Oryzias latipes: one gene and its partner. Each later gene encodes a partner of the first gene's protein in a complex. Links are inferred from orthologs where the notes say so. Each region holds a gene or a part of one and is shown in the gene's direction. Other genes may lie near its edges.

Region 1 (4,146 bases):
AAGATTGCTGATCTTCATGACCTAGCAAAAGCGGAAGTTCTTTGTCCAAAAACGGATCGCCATATTTCATATATAAAACAGTCAAACTTAGTGTGTTAGATATTACTTTAAACTTTCCTTGATGTTTTTATTCATAGACATTCCAGTGAGAACATCAAAAACAATAAAGTAGTGGTTTTGATTGCCTCATCACTGAACTTACTCCAAATGTTGTCCGTATAAACTTTGTAACTACTTAAACTTCTTTTATACACAACAAATACTTAATCTTAGCATTTCTATTTTTCTTGTCTGATAGGTTTTCACAAATACATTGTCACAATCAGAAAGTGTAAAATATCATGCGCTTTGACCTCAACTGAATCCAACAATGTTTGCAGTTCTTTGCATGTTCTGCTTGTTCCACGGTCTTCTGTGTGGCATTCATTCTTGGCGTTGTTTTGCTGGCTGATGAAGTTTTCTACTGTTCCAAATTTTAATTTGTCTTGATTTTAGTGCAGCTAATGATGATTAATCAAATGCTTTGCTCTGCCCTTTGTGAGTTGTGTATCTCTGACACAGTTTAGGACTTGTTTAAATCCAAACTATGTGAATAAATGTTAAAAGCATCCCAGCAAAAGAATGCATCCAGCTCTAACTGGATTTCTCCTGGTGGCCTTCTCAGCTTATTAAACATAAGTGAGCTCGATCAATTGCTCACTTGTTTTTTTTTTCTCACTGTTTAATTGCTGAAGCCATAGAACATCCAGTTAGGTTGTAACATTGTCCGTCTAACAGGTTTATTCTGCAGATTCAAGCCTTTACAGATTGTCCAAAGGTACTAAATGTTTCTTCAGCTGAAACAGGCATGTGACTTGACATTTCAGGTCTCAATAATAACTTCCTCTGACTGCCTTATTCTAAGTCCTAACATTTGCCTATAAACAACCCTTACTAATTATTGCTCTCTTTGCCAATGAATAGCAACTGGTGCAACATGCAGCAAAAACGTAATATGCTAAACTCTTCAGTTCTGGGATAAAAAATTGTGAATTGATCCAACCGGTGTTGACATAAAAAAAAGTAGTTTTGAACTTTTTATTTTATTTTACAGGACTTAAATTAGAATGTAATGTCTTGACATGTGTCCTGCTTTAGAAAAAAGCCGGTTAAGAGTTTAATGGTTTGAAAACAGTAAACAGTTCTATTATTATTATTATTATTATTATTATTATTATTATTATTATTATTATTATTATTATTATTATTATTATTATTATTATTATTATTATTATTATTATTATTATTATTAACAGATTTTCTAAATTTAGCGCGTTTGCTACTTAATGCGATTTCGATATTTTTGACAACGGCCGGCTACCATAGACTGCACGTATATGATTGGGTAGTTCGCGGGTGTCGTTGAAAACAGTCGTTTGCTAGACGTAATAGCAGGTGAGTGGAATGTAAACCAAGCCATTTACCTCTGCTTGTAAAGCAAACATGCGTTTAGCCTATTTACATTGCAGATACAATTGTTTAGAAAATCTTAAAGAACCTCCGGCATTATCTCTACAGACATTAGACAGTTAACCCCGTCAGTAGCCAGATGGTTAGCTACGCTAGCAGTAGCAGCTAACGTCTCCCGCTTGCTCAGTGATTTAATTTGTTCATTGATGCTTATTTCTGTAGTTCAGCACGTGGTTGGAAAAAATGAGAGTTGGGCTTTTTATGTGGTATTTTAGCGGAAATAAAACATCGTTTTTTATGTATTAAATCCACGCTATTAAACATAAAACTAATCATGGAGGACGATGGCGATGCTAGCACAAGAAACTAAAAGGCTAATATACAAAAACCTTTATTTTTCAGATCAAGCAAGATGAGTATGAGAAAACAAACGCCGAGTGACTTCCTTAAGCAGATAATTGGTAGACCAGTGGTGGTCAAACTAAACTCTGGTGTGGATTACAGAGGTAAAACACCTGGCGTGCCAGGCTCAGCCGCACGGTTCTCCTTTATTGTTATTTCTAAATGTCTGTTAAGGAATGAGACTTTAACCAAAACTTTGTTCCTGTTTGCTATAACTTATGCAGGTGTTCTGGCCTGTCTGGATGGTTACATGAACATCGCCATTGAACAGACAGAAGAGTATGTTAATGGACAGCTCAAGAACAAGTATGGGGATGCCTTTCTGAGAGGAAACAATGGTAAGAGGTTACATTTTTACAATAAAAATACTGATTAAGCCTTCTGCACATAATGACGTTAGTCAAGGGGGTATGCCTTTAGATTATATGTTTTAACTTTACACTGAATAGTAGGTATGCATAGTCAGTTAAATAACCCAAAATCATTGGTTAATGATATTTGACCTATTCATCATAGTTTTAATTTATTTTTAAATACAGCGATGTATGTCTGAAACATGCAAATATGGTGAAAATATTTACATTGCATAAGGCATGCCTAAGAACTCATTTAAAGAAATTGGAATTATTGGTCAAGTTTAGGTGACTATGGTAGAGAGATGTGGTTTGGAGTTGTTTCTTTGCAGAAATGATTAGGTAAAAGTAGCCTAATCAAATAGATTTAATGCATGTCTTAAACCAGGGGTCGGCAACCTTTACCACTCAAAGAGTCATTTGGAGCCGTTTCCCACAGAAATGAAAGCACAGGGAACCGCAACACAAGGGGTGTTAGAAATAAAGCGTTTTGCTTTTGAAATGTCGCAATAGTTCATTTGACAATACTTGTATTGATTCAAAATGCTGTCAGGATATTTATTTAATTATTTATTTTAATTATTTATGAGCCTTATGTTTCCTTTGATCTTTTGTCCATTTTACACAACCTTGATCTTGTGCCCCTACGAGATTACCGCTGACTGTCTTTATAGAAGAACTTTCCATCCCATACCAGACTCTGGTCAGTATTCACATGTGCAGACACGCCCCCTCCGCGTGCTCACGCTGCGCTCTTCCTCCTGACCGCTCGCGCTACCCGACGGTGTTAAAGGCTCTACAACAATCTTAGAACATGATAGGTATTTTACAAAAATACAGACAGTCGCAGCACAGGGATGAAAGCGGCTCCGGAGCCGCAGGTTGCCTACCCATGTCTTAAACCAACAAAAAACTATTTGGGGAGTATTAGAAAAAAGTTGACAATTTTGCTAATAGGAACGTTTCAAAGTGATAGAAATGAATCTTAACAATTTTAAGTGCATGATTGATTTATATTGGTTTAACCAAATGGACAGTAATGACACAAATTTTTAAAGGTTTAAGGCAGTACGAAGCAGGATGATCTATAGGTGTGACACAAAAACGATCAGATGCAGATTGTTTAGGAGGCAAACGAATAGAATGGGCTGGCTAAAATATCTTTAACCTCTTAAGACCTGATGTCCACATGTGCGAACATCACATATTACCACAGTTGTTAATTTTGCTTAACTGGGGCCCTGTGACTATGTGTAGAGGGTTATCTCAAATATTAGCTCGGGTCTTAAAAGGTAAAACTATCACCTTCCCAGTTTATCTGAGTTTTTTCTTTTGCATATGGAAAATATATTAAAAAAAAGACTTTGGATACATCTGTAAATGGCATTTCTAAAACTGCAGTAAATAATTTCACTTTACCTTTAAAAATGTAAATTCTTTCACTAACTTATACCATCTGCTGTGAGATTTCATCTTTAGGTACACAAAATCTGTGTTTGGGGAATATTTGAAATTTGTTTGAAATGTTAACCACTAATGGAGAGCTAGCCTAGCATATTCTGACACAACACAATCAAGGAAACCTTACATAATGATGTAAGCTTTCTCTTTTTTGTCCTTTTATTTTCTAAAGAAACACACTTTATTCCTATGTGTGGACAACACAAAAATCCAAAAAAATTATATAAGGGCAATACCAATGTTACTACTTCATCTGCAGAGACAGCCTAAGCACTAGAGGTGTGTATTGGCAAGAGTCTGACGATACGATGCGTATCCTTATATAGTACCGGAGCACATTTTCTTTCTTTTTTAAAAAGAAAATGACTTAGAAAAATATCTGACTTAATTTCAATATGTCTTTCATTGTAAAAAAATGGTCAAATTCCATTTAATGATCACAATGTTGAGCACTGCAACTGTATCTCATATACAAGTTGCT
Region 2 (4,274 bases), on another chromosome or scaffold:
GGCGTGTTCAGTGGTCATGGCTAAAGGGGGCGTGGCTTAAGAGGGCTCAATGAGTGAGATCTAAAGCCATACACACTGTGTTTGTGCGTATGTTCTAACCGTGCGTGTGTCATTGTGCGTGTGTGTGACATTGCAAGGATTTGCACTCCAGCTCGGCAGTACATCCACCCACCCACACTCACTCACGCACACACGCACGTGCACAGCACTGCCATTTAAATAGTGGGTCAGAGTCGTTTTCATGTAGCTTCACCAACCAAACTGTATGTTTGTTTTCTTTAAAGGAACAAGGATGTTGTAAAGTATTTTTGTACAAATTTAATACTTTGGTAGCATGAGGTTCCTGGTGTTTGTCCCAGTCCCGTCAGCCTTCATTCACCCCCCACCTCCCACCCCACCTTCTGTTTTTTTAATACTGAGCAACAATAAAGTGAGACGGGAGGCTGTGACTCCACATGTGGTCTAACATTAGCACATGCATTCAAACGTGTCTGTTTGGGTTTCCTGTCATGTATATAATGTTTCACATTAAACTGAACTAAAGTTTTACATTTGTAAAAATCTCTGAGTCAAAATCTTCTTCAGGAAATCTTAATTTCTCTCTTGATCATCCGAGGTCGTCCAGGACGCAGAACAGATGATCAGGTGAGGTTCTTCAACCGGCCTGGTCTGAATGTTAAAATGGAGATACGTCTCCATTTATATCCCATCATCCCTTTGTTTACGCTCTCTCCCACTAGCTTACAGCCCCTCACAACCCCAACTTAACTTTACTAGTGTAACCGTACAGCAAGCAGTATCAGAGCTTGCCATCCATCCAGGTCTGATCCAGATTCCAGTTCAGACCAGGAGAACGACGACGTTCATGGATCTGGTGGATGATCAGAAAGGGGCGGAGCAGGAAGGCTGTGGCCCCGCCCATCTTTGTTGCTGCGTAACAACTGGGAGTTTTTTTCAAATGGCATTTTTTTTGCTACTGATTTACGATTTTAATAAAGAAGTACTTAGAAACGCAGTTTTATCTTAAATAATTTTATATATGCTCTCCATTACGAGAAAAATGCTACAAGAACATGTTAAAAACATCACATCAGAGTGGGTCTTTAAGGAGAAACTGAAAACTAGGCTAGAATTAGTTTTGGATCCTAAACCGTTAAGAGAAACGTGAAACCGGATAATGACCACATCTAATGATTGGTTCTGATGATGCTGGAATGTGTGAAGTATTTGTTACAAAAATAAATTTTAAGAAAAACAGCCTGAAAAGTTCAGATTGGAGCTGTCATTTCATTTAATTGTATGATTATTTGTTTAATTAAGTTCTTTAAACAAACACTTTTTAAAGCAGATTTTAATAATGTGTGAATGTGTGAGGATGGAAATTAAAAGTAAAGAACAGCTCAAAAACAATTTCTCCAAACTCCGTCCCAGGTGGTGACACTAATGCGCCAGCAGGGTGTTTGCTAACCGCCAAAAGAAAACACAGAAGAAGAAGGAGGACATGCGCATGCGCGCTTTGACGCCTCAGCTCTATGAATCTGTGTGAGATTAGCTGAGCCTGGCTGTTGTTAGCTGCCGCCGTTAGCCTGTGCGGTGTTTTTGCGGGTTCTCTTAGCCTGTTTCAAACGCAAGTCTTCCCGCCAGCTGGATAAATAAAAAAGGAGCTCCGGACAAACATGTCCACCGCGCTGGAGAGCTACATCAACCGTATCCTTCCGCTGCTGCTAGCGGCTAACAGGCTAACCGCCGTTTAAATGAATGGAGGGCTAACTGCTAGCTTAGCGCGCTAACGAAAACTCGTGTTTTGTTAAATATAAAGAGTGTAATTTAAATGTCTATTTAGTAGGCTTAACTAAATTCATCTTTAGATTTCAAACACTGTTTATTTTGTGCTTTTGTTCGGGTATCGTGCAAAAATAAGAATTTGTAGCCTTTTGGGTTATTTTCAGCAGAAAGTTTAAACCAGATTATTTTTCTTATCGTTTCCTGATTATTATTCATCGATCATTGGAGAACCGGGTTTGTCAGTAGAAGTAAAGAATAAATAATTAGGAGAAATGCTCTTTTATATTTCCTTAGATTATTCCTAGAGATTAAAGAGATTTGCATGAATCTCTTTAGTTCTGGAGGAGGATCTCCTCACAGGAACCAAAACATTCTGAGAACTTCATGATGAATATCAGGAATTCTACTTCTAAACCGCTTTTATTTTCCCAGAGTTCATCTTTTTGAAAACATGCTGCTGGTTTCCCCGCGTGTCTTCAGTGAAACTGAATCTTATCTTACAGATTCGTGCTAATTTCTCCTACATCCCATAATTAAATTCGTATTTAAATCAGCTGCAGAGAAGTTTGTTTTGCTGAAAAGCAAACCACAAAAAAACAGTAAAAAGTAACATCACACTGACTCAGTTTAATCAACTCCAATAAAAATTGTGTTTCTGATTTCAATTAGGCAGCAGTGGATGCAGTTTATTCTCAGCAACAGAAAAGCAGCTGTGAAGGTTTTTGTTCTTTGAGGCTGAATCTGTACAGCATGTTGTCTTTTCCACCAACCAGAAGTCGGGGCGGGGCTTCGGTCACCTGGGCTCAGTTTTTTCTTAAACTTTTTCTCTGCTGGTATCTGGAGTCCAGGGGACTTTGGATCCGACACTTCGCTCTGAACTCAGAGGAAAAGCTGCTGTAGAGATTTTTGAGCTTCCTAGAAGCTGTGAGGTGATGATGTGTTCTGGATGAGTTTCTTTGACCGATGCTGGCTCAGGTACGGTGGCCATCGTCACTTCAGACGGCAGGATGATCGTGGTGAGTTCAAATGCTCCTCCTGTCCTCGGCTGGATCCGCTCTTTTCGGTTGGAGCCCAGCCTCATTTTCTCATTTCTGATTCTCTTCAGGGAACTCTGAAAGGCTTCGATCAGACCATCAACCTCATCCTGGATGAGAGTCACGAGCGCGTCTTCAGCTCCAGTCAGGGCGTGGAGCAGGTGGTGCTGGGACTCTACATCGTCAGAGGAGACAACGTGTGAGTCTGAGACCGCCGGTCCTCCCATCAGAACACAGAGAAACAGGAAACAGTTGAAGACAGTTGAAAGGACATTTGATCTGAAAACAGCAGGTAAAAGCAGCTCAGCAGCAGAGTAGAGCGTCTACCTTCAGCCCGTGGGTTCGAGTCCACAGGTCGACAGAATCCTCCCCCTCCAGGGGCAAAGAGCCGCTCTGATGAAAATGCTCTTCTTCTTGTAGAGGTTTTCTGATGATGGAGGTCATAGATTCAGATCATTGAGATCAATTTCTGAGTTTTTCTTTAATCAAATTGTTGTGAATCAGGAGCAGACGAAAAAAATGCTGATGGGAAAAAATTACATTTATAGCGTAGAAAATACTCTGGGCGGGGCCACAGTCTCCCTGCCCCGCCCCTTTCTGATCATCCACCTGCAGACCAACAGATCCATGAACGTCTGTTCTCCTGGTCTGAGCTGGAATCTGGATCAGAACTGGACGGGTGGACCTGATGTTGCTGCTGTTTTTGTTGTTCCATTAATGTTAAGATGGGGGGGTGAGGGGCTGTAAGCTAGCAGGAGAGAGTGTAAACACATGGATGATGGGAAATGAAGATGGGCTCACTCTGCACTGCGAACCATCTGAAAATAGATCAGAAGCTGGTGGGAGTGGGACTTTAGCCCCCCAGCGGGCTCTAAAGGTCATTCTGACGGCGTGGCGATTCTTTTTTTCCTCATCAGAGCGGTGATCGGTGAGATCGACGAAGAGACCGACTCCACGCTGGACTTGGGGAACATCCGAGCCGAGCCGCTCAACTCTGTGGTTCACTGAGCTCACCGTCTCCACGGCAACAGTGGACTCAGGGGGAGGGGTCTGCTGCAGCGGGAGCCGTGGAGATGAAGATCTGAGGGTGATCAGAGTCTTCCTCCTCCAACAGACTGTTCTGATGTTTCCACGTTTGTATTTTTATAAAGGAGGTTTGAGTCACGGTCTTCATCTCCAACAGAGAAAAGTTGAATAACGTTGGATTTGATTCTTTTCATTTTGCTTTAAGGTGAAACCAAGACTCAAAAAAAGACTTGAGTTTGTTTTAAAGCACAAAGTTCTGCTTTTCTTCAGCTCCATGTTCTCGTCTTTCAGGGAAGAACAAATAAATGTGTGAAAATGTTTTCCTTTTAGAGCTTCTGTTCTGAAAACTTTATTAGCTATTTTTTTTAAACAGACGTTTATTTTATTTAGATATTTGCTTTGCTTTATTTGTGATCATGGAAACTTGAA

The links. The genes of interacting proteins can lie anywhere in the genome.
Region 2: lsm6 (region 1) and lsm8 share a complex: the UniProt entries of both Homo sapiens proteins name them as parts of the precatalytic spliceosome. The link is inferred for Oryzias latipes from reciprocal best matches to the Homo sapiens genes LSM6 and LSM8.

Annotation. Positions count from the first base shown.
Region 1 is NC_019859.2:18,489,252-18,493,397, forward strand, and holds the start of lsm6 (U6 snRNA-associated Sm-like protein LSm6), read left to right. Parts: upstream 1-1,346; 5' UTR 1,347-1,434; intron 1,435-1,851; 5' UTR 1,852-1,861; coding exon 1,862-1,955; intron 1,956-2,075; coding exon 2,076-2,189; intron 2,190-4,146. UniProt on the Homo sapiens protein: Plays a role in pre-mRNA splicing as component of the U4/U6-U5 tri-snRNP complex that is involved in spliceosome assembly, and as component of the precatalytic spliceosome (spliceosome B complex).
Region 2 is NC_019881.2:23,243,759-23,248,032, reverse strand, and holds lsm8 (LSM8 homolog, U6 small nuclear RNA associated), read left to right. Parts: upstream 1-1,474; 5' UTR 1,475-1,676; coding exon 1,677-1,707; intron 1,708-2,760; coding exon 2,761-2,801; intron 2,802-2,890; coding exon 2,891-3,018; intron 3,019-3,736; coding exon 3,737-3,827; 3' UTR 3,828-4,174; downstream 4,175-4,274. UniProt on the Homo sapiens protein: Plays a role in pre-mRNA splicing as component of the U4/U6-U5 tri-snRNP complex that is involved in spliceosome assembly, and as component of the precatalytic spliceosome (spliceosome B complex).